Linked DNA regions of Rattus norvegicus. The protein of the gene in region 5 interacts with the protein of the main gene of each other region in a pairwise test. Links are inferred from orthologs where the notes say so. Each region holds a gene or a part of one and is shown on either strand. Other genes may lie near its edges.

Region 1 (4,087 bases), on a different chromosome or scaffold from region 5:
CGTGGCTGAATTCATTGCGGGTGAACCGGGACAGCAGATTGGTCTTGCCCACGCCTGACTCGCCGATCAGTACCACTGAGGGAGTGGAGAGAGGAGGGCTGAGCCAGGGCAGAGCAGCTCTGAGCCTACCTGAGCTGGGCAGCCTGTCCCACCAGAAAGAGGAAGTGAGATCAGAAAAGCAAGAAAAGAGTTATCTCTTCTGGCAGAGACTGGGGCTGGCCACACTGCATTGGGCATCTGTCTGAGGGCAGGGAATAGAAAGGCCAGGAGTGTTCCAGACAGGGGCTGCTGAGGCAGCAGGGTAACACAGTTAAGAGCAACGGGTGTGGGCTGCTGGCAGAGGACATGTGGAAAGGTGACTGAGACAGCATGTGAGAAAGGACAAAGGCCGCCGGGAGGGCTGGAGTGCACATTTCTGGACTAGGGAGAATGGAGTATGGGAAGGTTGCAGATGTCTGTATGTGAGTTGGAAGGATGAGGAAAAGGGGCTTGGGTGTGTTGTGTGTCCACATGGAAGACTGAGGCTAAGGTTGGCCAGTGACACTTCTGTAGGTGAGAGGCAGGTGTTGGAGTGCGCCTTCGTGGACGCATGCGCGTTACTGCCTCTCCTTTACTAGGAGAGACATCCCCATTCATCCATCCACAGCCCTGGCCTCAGCCCTGGAGCAAGGTTTTAATGCTAGGCAGGCTTCTGTCCTTACTGGCTTTGTGGCCTTTTAATTTTGTTTTAAGATTTATCTATTTTATGTGTGTGAGCGTTTTGCCTCTATGTATGTTTGTATACCACATGCATCCCTGGTGGAGTGTCAGATCACCCGGAACTGGAGTTAAAGATGGTTGTGACCACCATGTGGGTGCTTACCCACAGAGCCACCTCTCCAGCCCCTTTTGTGACCTCTTTTTGGAGAACTACTTAACTCTTTACATCTTAGTTTCTTCCTCTGTAAAATCCCAGTGGCTAACATTTACAGAGTGCTTCCATCCAAAACACTTCATGTAACCTCACAACAATGCCTGAGGTAAATGCCTTTATTATCTTATTATTATTGTTATTATTATTATTATTATTATTATTATTATTATTATTATTATAAAAAACAGGATTTGGCTGTCCGGGAACTCAGTCTATAGCCCAGGCTAGCCTTGAACTCACAGAGATCTACCTGCTGCCTCCCGAGTGCTGGGATTAAAGGCTTGCACTGCCACTGCCCGGCCACTATTCCCATTTTTATAGACAAGGTACCCACCTAGTAGGTCTCTCACAATGCACTAAACAGATAGATGTGCTGCTCACCTCTACCTTTTAGGAAGGACCTGCTCCACCCCCTCATTGCAGGGGGGGAAGCAGTGGCAGTGACAGCTCACAGGTGAGCCCTCATGGACACGGGATGTCATGCCTCTCTAGACAGGTCCATGTGGTACCCCAGGGACAGTGTTCCAAGGCTACCCCAAAGCTCCCTGTTCTCTGAATAGCTCTGAGCTGTCATGGCAGGTGACTATCCTCTGCCCGATCCTGCTTCCTCCTGTTTATCCTTGCATGTGCCAGCCTGTAATCATTACAGAATACCCCAGACTTCTTGGAAGTAGCACTGGGACTCCATCTGAGCTAACTGGTAAGTGGCAGAGAGACCACACAACCACCTATAGTGATAGCTCACACCAGGGATGAGAAGATGATTGTATGAAAATGGTACCTAGTAGGGCCTCAACAAATGGGAGTCACTACACCTGTGGCCACAGCCCCACGCTTCCTTGGGAAAATGCCAGGAGTACAGGCTCCCCAGCTTGGGCCAGGGTGGGGCTGAGCTTGGGAGAGGCTGTGGGTGTGGTGCAAAGGAAAGGAGAGTGCCACCAGGCCACCTTGCCTTCAAGGAGGGCTAGAGAACCACAGAGGGACCAAATATCAGGAGTTGGGGGGTGAGGGGAGCAGGAGGGAAGCATGTGCACCTTCAGAGACAGCCCAGTGAACCCAGTGCCTAATATCTGGGTCCAAAGACAGTGCAAGAGGCCATGCAGCCCAGGATTCCTGTGGAATCCATTAGACTGTTCCAAATTCAATGCATTGCTCCAGTGTATCAACTACCTATGAGTCAACTCCCCTATGTGTTAACTACCTAGATAACAATGGCTACCACTCTCCCTCCCCTCTTTCCTATGCATCTGCTGGGAAAGATGACTTTCTTCCACTTAAATTGGTTTGCTTCTTCCTCTTCCCTGCAAGTCCTTTTCTGAAGTCTGACCTCTCTCTCTTGGGCATCACTGACATTCCCAGGGATTCCAGCATCTATTAGAGACTGGGCAGGGAAGCCTAGTTTGGCAATAGGAAGGAATTACCAGCACCTTTAGAGAGCATACGATTTCAGAACATCTGTACTTGTAACCAGACCTGCCTAACTGCTCATGGCCTTTCTCTCCTAAAGGACATGCTGAGCTTGGAGATGGGGGGGGGGGGGGGGCGCGGGGAATTCCAAGTGAGAGATAAAAATCAAAAGACCCTGTCTCCTCTGGAAAGAGCCTCTCTCCCACCCTCTCTGGATTCTCCCTTTTCAAGAGCCCCAACTTACCCTTAAAGACAAAATTATAATCTTCATCTGTTCGATTCCCCATCTTGGCTCAGCATGGAGAGTGAGGGCGTTTGCAGGAACAGAGGTCACAAGTCTGTTTATAGGTTAAATGGCCTCCACTCTCAGCTCTTGAAAGACCTGCACCTGGCTCCTCTCTCATTAGGGTAAAGGACAAGAGGCTGAGTTGAGGCCAGGAAGAGCCCTGGAGGCTCAGCTCTGGCACTTTAGGCTACTCTGTGGGAGCTGAGAGGACGGAAGCTGAGAACAGGAAGAGCTAGCTAGCTCCGCTGGGCACCTGGGGCACAGGTGGGTGGAGCGATGATGACGTCAGACAGGTTAAACTGGTTAGGTGTCTGCTTTTGGCCCACACTCTCCCAAATAAGAGGGCCTGCTCATAGAGCTAACAGTGGGTGAGGCTGCGGGTGAGCCCGAGTGGGTTTCTGGGGTTCTAAGAAGGGGAGCCGCTACTGGGTTGAGAAAAATAGACACGGGGGTGGGGCAGAAACCTACCGGCCTCCGGCTTTCCCATCTCAGGTTTTAATAAGGACACATACCAGGGTAGGGGGCATCAGGGGAAGGGCTATTAGAGAAAGAAATGCAAGCTGGGTATAGCATCTCTGTACGATACTGAACTTTGGGAGATGTACCAGCATGCAGGCAGCTTCAGGCCCCTCCTTACCAGCTCCAGGCCAGGGAAGGGCAGCATTTCTCACTCAGGTGAAGCTGGAACACCACCTGGTCAGATGGGTCCCTTCCTAACATACAATAATCAGATTTACTCTCTTCATGGATGGATCTCAGCGAGAAGAGCAGAAAGAGCTGGATGTGGTGAATATGGGTGCAGCATCTGAAGATGAAGACCTTGAGGCCTTCTGAGGTCAGTCTTCCGATTGTCACGCTTGTACTGTGGGGCACACTACCCACACATCGGGTACACACATGCAATAAATAAGTAAAGGTAATGGAGAAGAATCTGCATGTCCACACACAATTTTTCTTTTTAACTAAAACAAATGCTGCAGATAGGGTCTGGTAGGCTCATGAAAGTGTAGGAAAGGGAGTTGGGGGCACTCCTAAAACTAGAAAATGGTGAACTCTAAGGGGTTGGGGATTTAGCTTAGTGGTAGAGCACTTGCCTAGCAAGCACAGGACCCTGGGTTCAGTCCTAGGCTCTGGAAAAAAAAAAAGACAAAATAACAAAAAGAGAGTTCAAGGACAGCTAGGGCTATGTAAGAGACCCTCTCTCTCTCTCTCTCTCTCTCTCTCTCTCTCTCTCTCTCTCACACACACACACACACACACACACACACAAGAAAAAAGTTTTTAAAAAAGGGGGGGGGGTTAGGGATTTAGCTCAGTGGTAGAGCGCTTGCCTAGCAAGCACAAGGCCCTGGGTCCGGTCCCCAGCTCCGAAAAAAAAAAAAAAAAAAATGGTGAACTCTAGGGACCTGTATTTTCTGTGAAGAACAGGCCTTTGCTCCTCTAGATCAATCCCAGGTACTGCAAATGGGTGGGTGAGAGCC
Region 2 (3,572 bases), on a different chromosome or scaffold from region 5:
GTAGAGCGCTTGCCTAGCAAGCGCAAGGCCCTGGGTTCGGTCCCCAGCTCCGAAAAAAAGAAAAAAAAAAAAAAAAAAAAAAAAAGAGAGAGATCAAGAAAGTACCAATTTCCTTTGAAACAACAGAGACAGACTTTATTGTCATTTCTTATTAAATAGTCTCTTTTGCTCCTTGTAAAAATTTCTAAAACCAAAGATATACTATTTTATAAAGTTAAATTTCTCAAGAATTCCAAAATTTGCCCTTTGACGCCCTCTATGGGGTGGGATGGGGGGCTCAATGTTGTTGGTTTCTCTCTATATATGTAAAGAAATGTATTCAAAAGTAACACAAATTCTTACCAGGCTGTCTGTCTGGATCAGTTACATCTAGTATATCTGCTTCAATGCTGTCATCTTCTGGTAAAGGTCTAGAAGACATAGATAAGCTCTTTATTCCAGAAATTAAAAATAACTCTTTTGAAGCTCAAAGATCCATTAAAATGTCACAATTATAAGGACTAAAGCTATGTTTCAAAAGTTCTACAAACCAGTGTGTGTGTGTGTGTGTGTGTGTGTGTGTGTGTGTGTGTGTGTGTGTGTGTGTTGCAGTCAGAGAAAATCTCAGATGTTCCTCGGGGCTGTCCACCATTTGAGACAGCATTTGTCACCAGCCTGGGACTAATTACATGGCCCAGGCAGGTAGGCCTGGGGATCTGGTCTCCATCTCCACAGTGCTGGGGTTACAAGTGGATCCTACCAGCTTGGCACTCCATTCACTTTTCAGAGAGCTGATAGCCCATTCCTCCAAAAACCTAAGACTTTAGCTTAAAGCACAAAAACCTAAAACCTGAAGCTGAAATGATTCAAATAAATGTGAAAAGATAAGTCAGTCACATATTTGGTAGAAAATAACTTTCATCTCCTAGTATCCAGTGATCACTGTAACCTTCTCTTTAAAGAAGCCCAGCATTCATGAGCTGACATTTCATTAAAGGAATCCTGATGCTTTGGTCCAAATCTGTTTAATAAAAAGTACCGCTCACATTGGGAAGTCTTCATCCTGCCATTCTTCTTTCAGTTCCACACCTTCCATCCTCAGCCTAGACTCAATGTCAACTTCCAGCTCCTGGCAATCCAGGCAGCCGAGGTCCTGGGGGAGAAAGATGAGCAACAGCTTCATTTCCACCTCTGCCCTTCATCTGCTGCAAAGGTGCAGCAGTCTCCCCTCCAGCTCGCATCTCCATGCCAGCAGCCACAGAGGCTTTAGCTCAGTGGTCTGGTTATGAGACTTGACCTACTGCAGATAGACAAATGGCGTCTCTACTATAGAATAACAAATTGGCTGTCTGCCCTCTGCACAGGGTGGATCCTGAAGCACAGGAGTGCGTTCCATGTACAGACACAGCCACCGGAGCCCAGCGCTCTGCAGTGTTTACGGCTCCTTCTCACCACTGCTAGCCACTTAGTCTACTCAGTGTGTGGAGCCTGTCCAGCAGCAGACTGTACTGGTTGATGATGTGCTTCCCATTTGTGCCACGCCCTTCTCATAACTCGGTGTCCCATCTACTGATGCTGTCTGTCACATGTGCAACTATCTATTTTAATTCATGCCCTAAACGCTAATCTTGTTTTTTTCTGCACCAACTCACTTTCTGTCTGACAGAATAATTCAGCTGAAGTACAGTATAAGTCATGAAGAGAGGCAAGAGAGATGGCTCAGGGGTCAGTTCCCAGCACCCTCATGACACTTGAGACCCCAGTTTCAGGGGTGCTACATACCCTCTTTGACCTTCGAGAGTATGGCATGCATGTGGCACACAAACATGTTGACAAATCACTCACACATAAAATAAAAAACAAACAAATCTTTAAAAAGTCATGACTATCAGTTGGTAAGAAGTTCAACAGAAGCAGGTGGCAGATCACTGACACGGAGGCACTCTGAGTGTTAACTCGTTTACATCAGAGTAACACAGAGCAAGTTCCTACAGACAGCATTGACACAGTTCTCAATCTCTCAGACACATCCTTGCCCTTCAGTTTAGACTGTCTTCAAACTTGTGACCTTTCTGTTCCAATCTCCTGAGTTCTGGGACTACAGGTATTGGCCAGGATGCTACCTTTGAATTTTTCTTAAGAGCCATACATCATAACTGGAGCTACAAAAATAAATATAAACAAAAACAAAGTAGTAGTTCCGAGTGGCTGACACAGAGAAAGGGCAGCATGCCCAAGCAGCGCACCCACGTCCTTCTCTAATACCCGATTTTAAAAAACCATGTACCAAACAAAACGAAACACCACCCAAAACCTTTCTAATAGACGAGAGCTATTCACATTCATATCAAATGATATTCTAAAAACAAACTAAAGGAAATTAAATGCTTGAATTGTTAAGTTTCATACAGCAAACTAAATTCATTCCTCAATGAATGACTAGAGTCTCTGCCTCCCAGGTTGAGTATTTACTTATACTTGGGAAAGTCTCAAAGGGCTTACAATTTTACAAACCTTTTTATTAGTACTGGGAAGAAAAGATAACGTGCTGACGTTCTGTTACTGAACTACGTGCGGGTAAATAACCACAACAGTTCCCTCGGTCTTGTCCTGCCTTTCTCCTGGGTACTGGGGGTGGGGTGGGGAGAAGCAGAATATTCTGGGCATCTTTTTTAAATAACCAGAAAAAAAAAAATCTCAGAAGTAACAGCAGGAACTGGCAGTTGTAATCAATACATTAACATCAGCACAATGCTCAGCACGTTACGGGGCTTCACAGTGGCGGTGCACCAGAACTGGGCCAGGCCTTGGTCAACCCTTAAGTTTCTTTTGCTTTCTGAATTATATAAATAGTTATTATGAGTTTCCCTTAAAAATGTTATGAAAATACTTTTTGGGAACATAAATATATACAATGTAAATTACTGTTGGTAAAGTTGTTCTTTATTTCTCTTATTTCTCTTAGCATTTATTACTTTCTTAGTTGAAAACTAACTCCTTCAAAACTGCCATGAAGGCTCAGGTTTGTAATCCTAGTACTTTGAGGCCTACAAGAGGATTACTGTTGAGATTGAGACTAGCCTGGGATATCTATGTAGCTAGACCCTTGTCTTAACACGACTAAAACCAAACAACAAAAAGGGGGCTCCTTATATACAGGGTTGTAATCCCAGCTCCCTCAGAGGCTGAGGCAGGAAGACTGCAAGTTCAAGGCTACCCTGAGCCTTTATGTAAGACCCTGTTACAAAGTAAACCTGGAGAGCGGTGCTGGTGCTCAGACACTGCTCAGCGCCTGGGGCCCTGGGTTCCATTCTCCACAGCACAGGCAAACATGGAAGCCCAACTCCTTGAGCCCTTGCAGCCAACTTCCTCAATTTTACTAATGTTCTCAGTCATGTGCTGGTCACACACATTATCATGGATTTTTAGTTATGGGGAGGGACGATTATCAGGCTAGTTTAACAAAGAAGGAACAGAGAGAAATAGACTAACTCCACAATTTCACCAAGAACGACGGGGGTAGCAGACTAGGTAGATGAAAACAAAGCCAACAATCGAGTTCTGTTCTTGGAAGCACTTTATCACCAGGCAGC
Region 3 (4,147 bases), on a different chromosome or scaffold from region 5:
CAGGACCACCAGCAGGCGCAGCTCCAGCTGCTGGAGCTGGCCCACCAGCCCCTACATTGCAGATGAGGCTCCCAATGTTGACATTGGCCAGAGCCTTTGCAAACAAGCCAGGCCAGAAAAGTTCAACATTGACACCAGCTGCTTTAATCAGGGCATTGATCTTATCCTCTGTGACCATCACCTCATCGTGCAAGATAAGGTCGGAGTAGATGCAGGTGAGCTCGGAGACAGAAGCCATGTTGTGGACTGCCCGCACGGAGCTAGTCGCTGGATGAAGTGAGGGCCTCACCACAATGCAGCCTTAGCTTCCTCAGAAGGACCGAGCACCTTGGCGGCAGCTGAGGAAAGGGGCTACTCCCTTTTCAACTTGAAGCTAGCCAGGGTAACATAAGTCCTTGTCTCAAAAAACAAAACAAAATATCAAGCCGGGTGGTGGTAGCAAGTGCCTCTAATCCCAGCACTTGGGAGGCTGAGATAGGCGGCTCTTTGTGAGTTCGAGGCCAGCCTGGTCTACAGAGCAAGTTCCGGACAGCCAGGGCTACATGGTGTGACCCTGTTACGAAAAAACAAGAAAGAAAAAAAGGGAAAAGAAAGCCAGACAGGTATGGTCTGAGCCATATCACCAATTCCAGTCTAGCTAGGGTTTCATAGTGAAAATCTGTCTTAGAAAATAAAAAAATATGAGTAATGGTGAAAGCAGAAAACAATAGAACTTTTTGAGAAGAACAAATGAAAAAAGCCTAGGAACCCCATTTGTTTTGGAGGTACTGGCATAAGCTTTAGGTTTAAACAAATAACTGGGGAAGTGCAACTCAGAGAAGGCACCCCAATCCACGTACATACACCCGGAAATGGTCATTTATGGGGCTAGACTAAGAGGCCAGAGGAAACCCACTGTTCTATGATGTCACCAGGACGTTAGAGTCCGTAACTTCACCTAGAGGTAGCTCGATACAGGTCCACTGGAAGGCCGAGTCTCAGTCCAGTCTCTCATTGGTTACATACTCTGTCAATCCGCTTCATTGTTCAAGTCTTCCGCCCCTCCTTTCTCCATCTGCTTTTGATAGGCTGCTGAATCTGTCACTTCGAAAAGGTCCGCATTCCTTCCGCCTTTCTCCAGGAGACCTAGGACTAGAAGGGTGGATCCCAGGACGATCCCACCCCCTGAGCTCGCCTCCTAAGTTTGATTGGCTTGTTCAGGTGCCTGTCACTACCGCTTTCACCGTTGACTGGCCACCAGACCGCCGCTCTGCGCGGCGCCGGTACCGCCCCCGTCGGGTGTTTGTGGTGGGGCTGCGGAGTCGCCGATCCCGCCGGAAGCGCCAGGACAATGGGGACCCGGGACGACGAGTACGATTACCTATTCAAAGGTGCGCCCGGTGGGGTACAAATAGGCAAGGTCGCAGTAGCGACTGGAGGGCCGAAGCCGTGATACAGGACCAGAGGGTTCAAGGTGGAGCCCGGGGCTTCAGCGGGGCCTATCCGGGGTAGGGAGTCTGAGGAAGCCGTGGCAAGTGGAGCTTGCTAGGTTTTGGGCCTTAGTGCGCAGCGGTGAGATGAGGGAGACTCGGAGAGGCCTATGGACCCCGGATGCGCCGGGGCGGGGCCGGGGCCTTGAGGGGGTGGGGCCCGAAGTGGTCGAAGAGGCCGTTGGGGCGGGGCGTCCTGAGGGGCGGGGCTTTCTTGGGTTTGGCGGGCGGACTACGTTGAAAGCGGGATTATAGGTGGTGGTAGGGCGATGGAGAAGGTTGTGGGCGTGCCCACTAAGCCTGATTGGTTTGAGCCTTCTAGGGCTGACTTGTTACAGGCGGGGCCTACCTTGGAGTGGAGGCTGGGTCATGAGGTGCAGTATCCCTAAATTGTGGTGCTTTGGAATTGGGTATATTGAGGCCTGTCTGTTCATCACTAGTTCAAACTCTTGGTAATTGACGGAAATGTGATTCAGTTAGTAGCATGCTTATCAGAAGCATGCTCAAAGCCCTGGGTTTTATCCCCAACACTGCATAAACATTGGTGATGGTGCAGACCTGTAGTCTCAACACTTGGGAGGCAGAGGTAGGAAGAGCAAAAGTGCAGAGGCCAGGCTGGATTACTGGAACCCTTTTTCAAAGAAAAAAAGAACATGGATGAGATCAAATGCAGTACTTGCACTATTCTGAGACTTTACAACAATGGTCCCTTTTAATCCTCTTTGAGTTTATACAGTCCACTTTGTCCAGGAAACAGGCCTATAGTGGTGCACACCTGGAATCCCAGTACTCAGAGTTGGGGGTAGGAGGATCTCTTTCCAGTTCAAAGCCAACCTGGGCTGGTGAGGGAGCTTAGGTATTGGTGTGCACTGCCAAGCCTGATGACCTGAGTTCAATCTTGGAGCCTCCATGGTGGACAAAAGTCAGCAAATTGTCTTCTGCCCTTCATATGAGCCCACATAGATAGATACACAGAAAAAAATAGTGTAATTTAGCAGAATGTGGTGGCACACACCTTTAATCCCAACACTCAGGAAGCAAGAGAGAGACAGAGATCTGTGAGTTCAAGGCAAACCTGGTACACATAAAGGGGCGAGACAGGAGTGGCAAGTCAACAGAATTTGGATGTTTTTGTTTTTGTTTTTTTAATTTTTTAAAAGCTAACTTATGTTACACAGCCATAGTCTGTCCTCAGAACAAAAGGGAAAAACTGAAGTTCAGAGAATCAGGTTCCTAAGGGTGGAGCAGGATTGAGCCCAGGACAGGTTTTGCCACTTAGAGTATAAGTTTAGGGACAAGGATTGCAGCTTAGATATGGAAAAGACAGGTATTATACCTCCCTTCAACACATACATATCTAACTCAGGAAGAGCTTCCCTACTTTGTAAGCTTCTGTCCGTGTCATTGGGGTTCCCCATTCTTCTGGTGAGCATATTTTAAGGATCTGGCATTGTGACACCTTCTATGCCAAGCTGGGCTTTTGGGTCCTAGACTCCCTGATTGACAGTGATGGATTTTGAGAGATAACTTCTGGATCCTCCAGGGACATACCTTTGCCCTCAGGGTTGTGGAGGTAGTTGGGATATCCTTGTGGCAAAAGGCTCATAAGACAGAGACAGAGACAGACTTCTGCAAAGATACGGGTACCACACAGCACTATGGGCTAGGCGTGGGCTATATCCAGGTGTGAGACTAATTACAGGTGTTAGAGTCCAGGTATCACTTCAGAGGCAGAGTATGATTTGGAAGGCTCTCTGGTGACAGAAAAGATTCAAGTCCTGCTGTGTCCGGGGCCTGTCCCCACTCAGACCACCCGGAGGAAGCTTCCAGGCAGGGCAGGGGGATCTTTTCCCTTCAAGTCATCACATCCAGGCATCTGTGGTCATTCCCTGCTTGTTTTCAGCCTTTTCACTGTTATAAATAGCCTGGCATTGAATGTGTGCCCGAGTCCTCTCTTTGCCCTGTGGGCTGTTTCCTTGATGTGCATTCCCAGAAGTGCAGTTACTAGGTCAGGGGCAATGGAACTCCATTGCCATTCCTGGTACTTGTCTCCAGAGCTCACTTCCTGGAAGCACCAATCAGCTCCTGCAGCAGCTGGCAACGGGGTTGGGGGGTTGGTATTGGTAGAAGGAGAGTAGCCACCTGCCCCCACTACCCTCTCCTACTGTCCTCCTTTCCTGGTCTGGCAGGTACCTTCTTCAGTAAGTCATAGTAGCTGCCTAACCCCCAAGGTGAACATTCTGCCAGTGCTCACCCTAGGTCTCCTCTCCATTCCTGGCATCTCACCTGAGCGTTAACATTTGTCCTTTTCATTCAGACTTTAAACCATTAAATTAGATAAAGGAGTGCTATGAAATAAAAAGGGAAGCCAGGCAGATTGTTATCACCAATCACATCATTTTGCCTGCATGTGGCGAATAATGTGAGTACACTGCACCTGCCAATCCCTTTTGAGACTCACAGCCTTTAGATGCTCCAGGTCAGCCATTATAACAATGGTGGTAACCTGGTCAGCCTTGGAGAGGCGTCTTAATTCAGTGGTAAGAAGATAAATTCAAGGCCAGCCTAAGCTACATAGCAAAACCTTGTCTCAAGAAAAAAAAATCTACGTTTGCACTACAAGTATTGACAGGCTGCTTTTGTCACTATGTGGCTCTCTTTGTCACCTGTAGGAACTC
Region 4 (3,998 bases), on a different chromosome or scaffold from region 5:
AGCTGAGGGAAACTGTGGGAAGAGCTCATGTGGCTGGGGACCCGGGCACCATTTCTTTCCAGGGACAGCTGCAGAAGTCGTTCACTCAAGGAGCGCACATGGCCGTGCCTCAACTCTCGAAGAGCCTCATCCTGACGTCGGCTGCCTCCTGAGGCCCCTCTAGGATCCCGGTCCCCACCATGCAGCCGGGAGCCTGCCTGCTGCGCTGCATAGTACTGCGAATGGGCTTTGGCTTCCTCATAGGTGGGCAGCTCTTCTCCCTTGCTGGGCTGTGGGCAGAGTCGGTACAGCCTGTTCTCTGCCAGGTGGGTCTCTCCACCCTGATGCTCCTGGCCCTGGGGCTCCTGCCTGGTGGCCTGCTGTAGCACCTGACTGTCCTCGGGTGCTCCGATCTCCAGGGAGGCCTGGGGGCTCCCTGTGCCCCCAGCTCCAGCCCCACCCCGCAGGGCCTGCTGCTGGATGGCCAACAGAGTGCGAGTCTCTGTCAGGTTGCCGTAGCGCAGCTGCTCCTGGATGAGGCGGTGCAGGACTGTCCCTGAGGAGTCTTCCAGTGTCCTCATGCTTCTCTGGCTTGCACACACCTGCCTAGACAATGGCCAGCAGGCACCTGGTCTCAGAGCACCTAACAGACAGAAAGAATAGCAGTCAGTGGAAGCACATACAAAGGAGGGAGGGGCACTTGCCAAAACACTCTGGATGAAGGAGAAGGTGAGATAGTTGGGTGGTTTTACACAGGCCCAGATCCAAGTGCCAATATGGCCATCAATTGATTAAGTTTAGTTACTGAGCTTCTGATCTTAGTCTGCCGTGTGTGTGTGTGTGTGTGTGTGTGTGTGTGTGTGTGTGTGTGCCTCTTGGGAGTTGAAATGTAAGAGGTAGAACGCCTGGCATGCTATAAATCCTTGGCAAATGCTTACCATTCTAAGGACATGTATGGAGACCACAGAAATACAACAGAAAACCTGAAGGTTATCTAATAATCACACTCGCCTACAATCAGCCACTACCCCCAAACGCTCTCACGAGTGACCCCAGGACAGGTGTCCATCAAATTCAACCACTTAAGCAGTAGGACCTCAGTTTACTCGCAGAGTGGCCAAAGACAGAATGTAGCCCAGTAGAAAGAAGCCCTAAGCAAATGACTCCATTGACTGTTTCGAATGAGGAGGCTTGAGCCACCATAGTCCACCACCCTCCACTGGCTTCTCTTCCAGGAGTCGGACCCTGGGCTGCAGATAAAATAAATCCTTGTCACAGATGACCTTCGCAGTCACTCTGCAAGGTGAGCAGCCTGAGAAGCTGCATGTGAACTGGTGAGGCAGAGGTGTGACTGCAGTAATTGAGCCAGCAAAATATTGATCCTCCTCCTCCTTTCTTCACACACACACACATACAAACTTAGAAAAGCCTCTACTTGTACCCTAGAGGTACACAGGGGATGACCCTCTGTATCTCTGTTGATATTAGTAACGACCACCTATGCCAGTTGATGGGGTAATGAGGTGAGGGGGAAGACGAAGGAAGGGCTCGTGGGGATGTGGCCCCTTTCTCTTCCGTGCTATCCCCAGTGTGCAGCCCCACTTTGGGAATGATGTGTTGGCAGAGCCCTGAATGGTATGTTGGTAATGAGCCCCGAGGGCACCCAAGCCGGCAACTAATACCCCCACCCCCACCCCAGCTGCACCCTACAATGTGTAAGACTTGAGACTGTTCGCACGCAGCTTTTTCTACGCGGCATTTCCTACGTTAATCACTGTCTGGGCTGACTCCCGCTAAGGAGGATCCGGGAGCGGCTAGAAGGAATGCAAAGCCTTCCCGACAGATTCCAGGCGCGCCAACTATGAGCCAGGCTCCCCGGGAGCACGGAACATTTCCGAGGCCTCTCATCACACACACGTCCCAATCTAATCCCCTAGATGCACAATCTTTCAAATTCTTAGGGTTGAGCAATTTCTAAAAATCAGCTTCCTTACTCGGACGTTGTACCTGGGCTGCTCTGGAACACTGCACTCGGAAAACCAGCTACCTTTCTAAGCAAACATGCTTCTCTGGCCTTGGCTCGGGCTCCCTCCAGCAAAAAGAACCAACGCTAGTCTCTAAGTCAGCCAGACCAGGGTTCCCGCGTTTCCCACCTCCACCGAGGTGGACCACTAGCACTGGTGGTTGCCCGAGTGCCCCGGGCAAGCAAAACCCACACCCGCGAGAGGTCTTTAAGCATCGCGGGTCCGCCTCTCTCCCTAACCCTCTTTGTTTTCCAAATACTTCAGCGCTGACGTCACCGGACTGGACAGCAGGCTGCATTCTTTCTAAGTGAGAGCCAGTTCGTGGCTCCGGAGAGGATTTTCCAAGGAAGACAAAGAGGAATTCTTGATCTAGCTGACGGTAAAAGCCACCTGTATCCCCAATCTAGACAAAGCAATCACGGTGACCCCGTATTCGGCGAGATATGCCTACAGCAGCTATTCACTTGCCCCGTACGAGACGCACACTCCCAAACACTGATCCTCTGTCCTTCCTCCAGCCCCAGTGGGTCGGAGAATCGTGTCCTCACCCCCACAAAAGCGCGAGCAGCCTAGGCTAGACAGACACCCAGGATCAATCCTCGAAAGGGTGCACAGTGTCCCCTCCCCGGGGAGGCTCCTCCACTCCAGCTCCGATCTCCAGAAAGAGTCGGGCTGATCGCGGTGTCCGGGTGCCGCTGGGAAGCGTCCCCGCAGGCTTCGCGCACTACCCGGAGCGCCAGGCGCCTTGCTTACCGCTGCGGCCCGCGGCTGCCGGCGCACGCAGACCGGGTTCGGCTTAGGTACGGTCGGCAACGGAGGTGCGCACTCGTCGGTGGCGCCGACGATCTGCTTGCTCGCGCCCCAGTGCGCAGCCTCTAGGTCAGCCCGCGCTGGAGGCGGCTGCTATGCCAGGAATGTGAGAGTTTCAGGTTCCCCCTCGGGATCAAAGCGAACCACAAATAACCTCTCAGCGCGCCGCCCTCCTCCGCTCTCCGCCTCCCCCCGCCTCCTGGCCCAGCCCCCGCCTTCCTCCGGGGAGGCGGCGCTGCGGCCGGCGGCTGGGCTGGCCTCAGCCTTGTCCCCTTGTGCCACCCTGGGCTCTGGGGCCGTACGGCATTCCCTGCCTTCTGCCTTGCTGTCCTAGCTGTTGGGGGTGTCTTAACCAACTGGTCCCAAGATCGCCCCACCACTGTCCGCACCCGGTTCTCACCCGTCATCCTTACATGCACCGAGGGACGACTTCCAGGGATAAGCCTCGAACGCCCGGTGGTGGCTGCAAGAGGGGTCTGTGGCTTTTTGGAGATGGCGGGAGGACTGCAAAGCACTTTACATCCGCCCAGCTTGGGCCGTGTTGCAGGCGAACCAACCGATGCTTCGGCCCGCAGCTGCCCAGCCTCTTTCCTAACCCCTACTATTTCACCCCCCAGCGGCAAACTTTGAATTGCACTTTTATTGTTTACAAACACCTTCGCCAGCTCTTTTAGATCCCGCCTCTACAGGAAGTGTGTGAATCTGGGTTGAAAATCTGGTGGATTTAACCCACTACCCAAATGAATCAGCCACTCACTGGGCACTCTCTCTAACTTCTCCCCAGCTCCGTTCAGCTTTAAGTCAAGCACAAGGCGGGTCACCACTTGCTCTTTACTCGGCCATAAGATTCTAGTCACTCTCCAACCGTGCTCTCATTATCTCTGTAATAAATAAGAAACCAAGGCTCAGAGAGTTTAATAACTTACCTAGGGTCACACAGAGAATAGCTGATGAAGCCAGGACTCTTTTCTTGGTCTTCGGAATCCGGGTACCCTAGCCTGATAAGGCGGGCCCAGAGAGTCTCTGCTTCCACCTACCTGTCCCCAGTTCCAATCTTTTCCAATTTGTCTACACCTAGCCAGCCCTCTTTGTCTTCCCCTTCTCTGGCTTCTGGTGTTCTACTTTAGTGTGGAATGGACTCCTCTGTCTGTCATTTCTGACTCCCCTCCTCCTCCCTCCTCTGGT
Region 5 (3,572 bases):
GAGGGCATCAGATCCCATTACAGATGGTTGTGAGCCACCATGTGGTTGCTGGGATTTGAACTCAGGACCTCTGGAAGAAGAGTCAGTGCTCTTAACTACTGAGCCACCTCTCCAGCCCAATAAAAATGAATCTTAAAAACCAAACAAAATGAGGGCTCAGCAGTTAAGAGCACTGACTCGCTCTTTCAGAGGTGCCCCTGTTGCCCTTTTCTGGTGTGTGTGAAGTAATAGTGTACTTGTATACATATTATACCACGTCAGAATGGAAAGGAAAGAAAGGTGTTATGAAAAAAGAGTCTGGGTCCAGGATGGGGGTCAAGGATGGAGGGGGAGGGGGAGGAGGAGAGGGAGGGAGGGGGAGAGGGAGGGGGAGGAAGACGAGGAGAGTCAAATCCCACAATTTTCAGTTTAGGCATGAGAATAGATTTTGCTAGTGGTATGGCGCAGAGCTGGACTTAAATCCCACGAGAAGTTCTCCTCACAACTTCACGGTGAGAAAAAGGGGTTCTTATCTCTGACAGCTCTCTGCTGTGGCAGTACTGATAGGTTTGTAATCAACGGCATTCCCAGTCACACTACAACCTTCTTTTTTTATTTTACACCTGAGCTACATTTCCTACTCCCAAACCTGATTTAAATTCCCCAATGGCTAAGTTTGTCTCCTGCATTTTTACCGGTCTTAAAAAAAGAAACTATGCATAGCGACTGTGTGTGTGTGTCTGTGTGTGTGTGTATGTGTGTGTGTGTGTGCGCACACACAGGCATATGTGTGTCTGTCATGGCTTGCCTATGCCATGGTATCTGTGAAAACCAGAGGACAGCTTCTTGCAGGCATCAGTTCTCTCCTCCCATCATGTGTGTCCCTTGGATCTAACTCAGGCCAGCAGGCTTGACAGCGAGGGTCTTCATGATCCTGAGAGGCATCTTGCTGGCTCTGTTTTCTCTTTTGCACGCCCACGTTGTGTATTTGCTTCGAGCCTGATACTGGCATAGTTCTGTGTTTATAGCTTAGGTTCCCCAAAAGTCCTTGAGACAAATAAATTACTTTTAGATGTAAAGTTTCACACAGTATCCTTTCAAGATGCAAGAGGATAGGGATGTCATCAGTTGTGGTGACACAAAGGCACAGCCGTAGGTGAGAAGGGTCTCCTCTGGCTCTCAGCCAGGTGGCTGAGCTTGTGTTAGATTCCAGGCACGAGAGGGTGGTAGACTTTCTCTGCTGATTCTGACTTCTGCTGTTTTATTTTCTCTGCACCTGATGCCAGTCCTCCAGGCATGAGCTCCCAGACTCCCTACTGCTTCCCAGTGGAAATCCTTTGCCCTGGGATACTCAGGGAGCACACCCAGCTCAGAGGCAGTGGGGTGAGACATTCACAGAGAGTGATCAATTTGGTTCCCACAAGAGGAAGCTCTGAAGCCCAACACCACTGAGACCCCATGGGCTCACAACAGAGCGGCTACGCACCTGCACTTTCTTGCTGTCCTGTTGTTCCTTTTCTAGCTGCACCTGCAGCTTCTTCCTCTCCTGCTCAAGTTCCCGCACTCTCTTCTGCAGCTTCAAGAAGACAGTCATGTCCATGGCTGCCTTCTCTATACCAATCTCCTGCAAACGGAGAGGGGTATCCAGAAGGTAGTTTTCACAGCACAAATGCTCCTGGGAACAATGCCTGGCTGCCCACCCCTGTATCAGTCATCTGTCTCCTTGCTCCTCCCCAGTACCAATCCTTGCCTCCAACACAAAGCCAGTGTCAAACCACTAGTATTTCCCATCAGAAAGCTGGTGCTGCTGGCTTATTCTCTTCAATAACATCTGTGTCTCAGCCGTTCACATTCCTCCTGTGAGAGCCACTTAAGTGACCAATCGCATACTCTAAGGAACAACTGAAAACAGGCACAGGCATTTTCTTTGGAAGGTAAAAGGGAATTCACTTCTGGAAAATGGCATTACAAGAGGGAAACTAAATCTTGGGACACAGTGCTTCCTGATGGGGGATCACTGTGACCTCCGGTCACTGTCGTGATGCCAACGAGTACCCGATCGTAACTTGAAACAAGCAATACTTGCCCTGCCGTGGAGCGCGCTGCTCCAACAGATCTTGATACATTGATCTCCCAGTGCATTCCTATCCTTTCAGATCCGGGTCTGGATTTTACTATGTGGCTAAGTATGTAGACAAGCATGTGCTTGCCTGTCGGTAGGCAATGCGTCTGAGTGCACATCAGTCTGTTTTTGCATGTCGGAAGCATGGTGATGTCCCACCTCATGTAATGAGCACAACTCAGGGTCAGTCTCACTGCCTGTGAGCCGCAGAGCCGTGAGGATGACCGTGCCCATATCTACATGGAAACGGCATGCACACGGATGTGACGCCATATATCAGTAAATTCGCTGCAACCCAGTGATCCTGTTCTCAACGTCCGTGCCCTGGGCCCTCTGAGGCACCACCAACAGAGCAGTATATCTCATATCTCTCTTGGGTGGTTCCATGCAGGCAATTAAGTGTCCTCAACAGGACAACTGCAAACAGTTGTCCCAGACTTACCTCCACCTGCTGTAGGGCATCCTCGGTGTCTCCGATTTCTGAGGTGGAAATGGAGGGGTAATTGGAGTCAGATTCTAAGCTACTTTGATTTGATGGGTTCTTCCTGTGGCCTGGAGTTTGCTGCTGAAGGAGGAAAAAAAAAAAACGTGACAACTCGTAACCAGTTCATATTAATGTGAAGTAACTTCTCAAGGAGCCCCGGACATCAGCCACTGCCTCTCGTCAACAACTGTGGGCAGTAGCGCTCCTTGGAACAGTGGATAAATAGTTATTCCCATGAATGCCAGGCAAATACTCTACCGGTGTTTTATAACCCACAGCACCCAGAAAGCGAGGAGAGAACAGCCTTTTACTCGAGCCGTGCCCTCGGATTGCACAGTGCACCCTTCTCCACGTTCTTGAAAGGAACCCTTTCTGCAACCCTTTCCCACACGGCCTCTCCTTCCACCCCGGTTCTGCTCATGAAAACGAGAGTAATTAGGAATAGAGCCTACCTCCCGTGCTATTCATTTAAAAAGACCTTTTGGCTTATGTTTTTGGCAGCTGGTTTGTCTTTTAAGAGTGAAAACCGAGCTTGGTGGAATTTATAGATTTCTATTTCAGTTCCCACTCAGATTCCTTTCCTGGTTTCTATGCAACTAACTCTCGGATGTCGAATATGCATGTTGGGAGGGAGTTACTCGTACGGGTAAAGAGGAATGTCAAATCCTGAGATGTCACAAAAATATCTTGTATTTTGTCAGAGATTAGGAGACCCAATCGGGTTCCAAGGGTCTCTCTCCACACGGACCAATGCAGCTGAGGTCAGAGCCTACAACACCATTGTCTCAACAGTGGAATTGTCTAGAACAAGAAGCAGATGGCAATAGACACATGCAGGAAGATAAGTTTTAACCTCCTAAGATCTCAATAAGACCTCAGCTTTTGGAAAGGGCATCCTCAGAAGGTGACCACCTAACCACAGAGTTCACAGAGGAACGAAAGAACAAGTGGTCCTTGCACACATGCATGTTTCCTGAGCATGGCATT

Evidence for each region.
Region 1: the proteins of Myo5b (region 5) and Rab25 interact in binary tests that used the Homo sapiens proteins (3 or more experiments, as listed by UniProt). The link is inferred for Rattus norvegicus from reciprocal best matches to the Homo sapiens genes MYO5B and RAB25.
Region 2: the proteins of Myo5b (region 5) and Bnip2 interact in binary tests that used the Homo sapiens proteins (3 or more experiments, as listed by UniProt). The two-hybrid records come from large-scale screens. The link is inferred for Rattus norvegicus from reciprocal best matches to the Homo sapiens genes MYO5B and BNIP2.
Region 3: the proteins of Myo5b (region 5) and Rab11b interact in binary tests that used the Homo sapiens proteins (3 or more experiments, as listed by UniProt). The link is inferred for Rattus norvegicus from reciprocal best matches to the Homo sapiens genes MYO5B and RAB11B.
Region 4: the proteins of Myo5b (region 5) and Amotl2 interact in binary tests that used the Homo sapiens proteins (3 or more experiments, as listed by UniProt). The two-hybrid records come from large-scale screens. The link is inferred for Rattus norvegicus from reciprocal best matches to the Homo sapiens genes MYO5B and AMOTL2.

What each region holds. Positions count from the first base shown.
Region 1 is NC_086020.1:176,301,388-176,305,474, forward strand, and holds the start of Rab25 (ras-related protein Rab-25), read right to left. Parts: upstream 2,835-4,087; 5' UTR 2,608-2,834; coding exon 2,565-2,607; intron 76-2,564; coding exon 1-75. UniProt on the Homo sapiens protein: The small GTPases Rab are key regulators of intracellular membrane trafficking, from the formation of transport vesicles to their fusion with membranes.
Region 2 is NC_086026.1:79,524,344-79,527,915, reverse strand, and holds part of Bnip2 (BCL2/adenovirus E1B 19 kDa protein-interacting protein 2), read right to left. Parts: intron 1,133-3,572; 5' UTR 1,076-1,132; coding exon 1,026-1,075; intron 411-1,025; coding exon 343-410; intron 1-342.
Region 3 is NC_086025.1:15,233,888-15,238,034, reverse strand, and holds the start of Rab11b (ras-related protein Rab-11B), read left to right. Parts: upstream 1-1,280; 5' UTR 1,281-1,330; coding exon 1,331-1,370; intron 1,371-4,147. Other genes in the region: Rplp1l1 (large ribosomal subunit protein P1-like), read right to left, coding at 1-238. UniProt on the Homo sapiens protein: The small GTPases Rab are key regulators of intracellular membrane trafficking, from the formation of transport vesicles to their fusion with membranes.
Region 4 is NC_086026.1:112,181,472-112,185,469, reverse strand, and holds the start of Amotl2 (angiomotin-like protein 2), read right to left. Parts: upstream 2,845-3,998; 5' UTR 2,757-2,844; intron 2,648-2,756; exon of another isoform or gene 1,987-2,647; intron 623-1,986; coding exon of another isoform or gene 561-622; coding exon 1-560. UniProt on the Homo sapiens protein: Regulates the translocation of phosphorylated SRC to peripheral cell-matrix adhesion sites. Required for proper architecture of actin filaments.
Region 5 is NC_086036.1:70,572,444-70,576,015, reverse strand, and holds part of Myo5b (unconventional myosin-Vb), read right to left. Parts: intron 2,667-3,572; coding exon 2,544-2,666; intron 1,604-2,543; coding exon 1,466-1,603; intron 1-1,465. UniProt on the Homo sapiens protein: May be involved in vesicular trafficking via its association with the CART complex. The CART complex is necessary for efficient transferrin receptor recycling but not for EGFR degradation.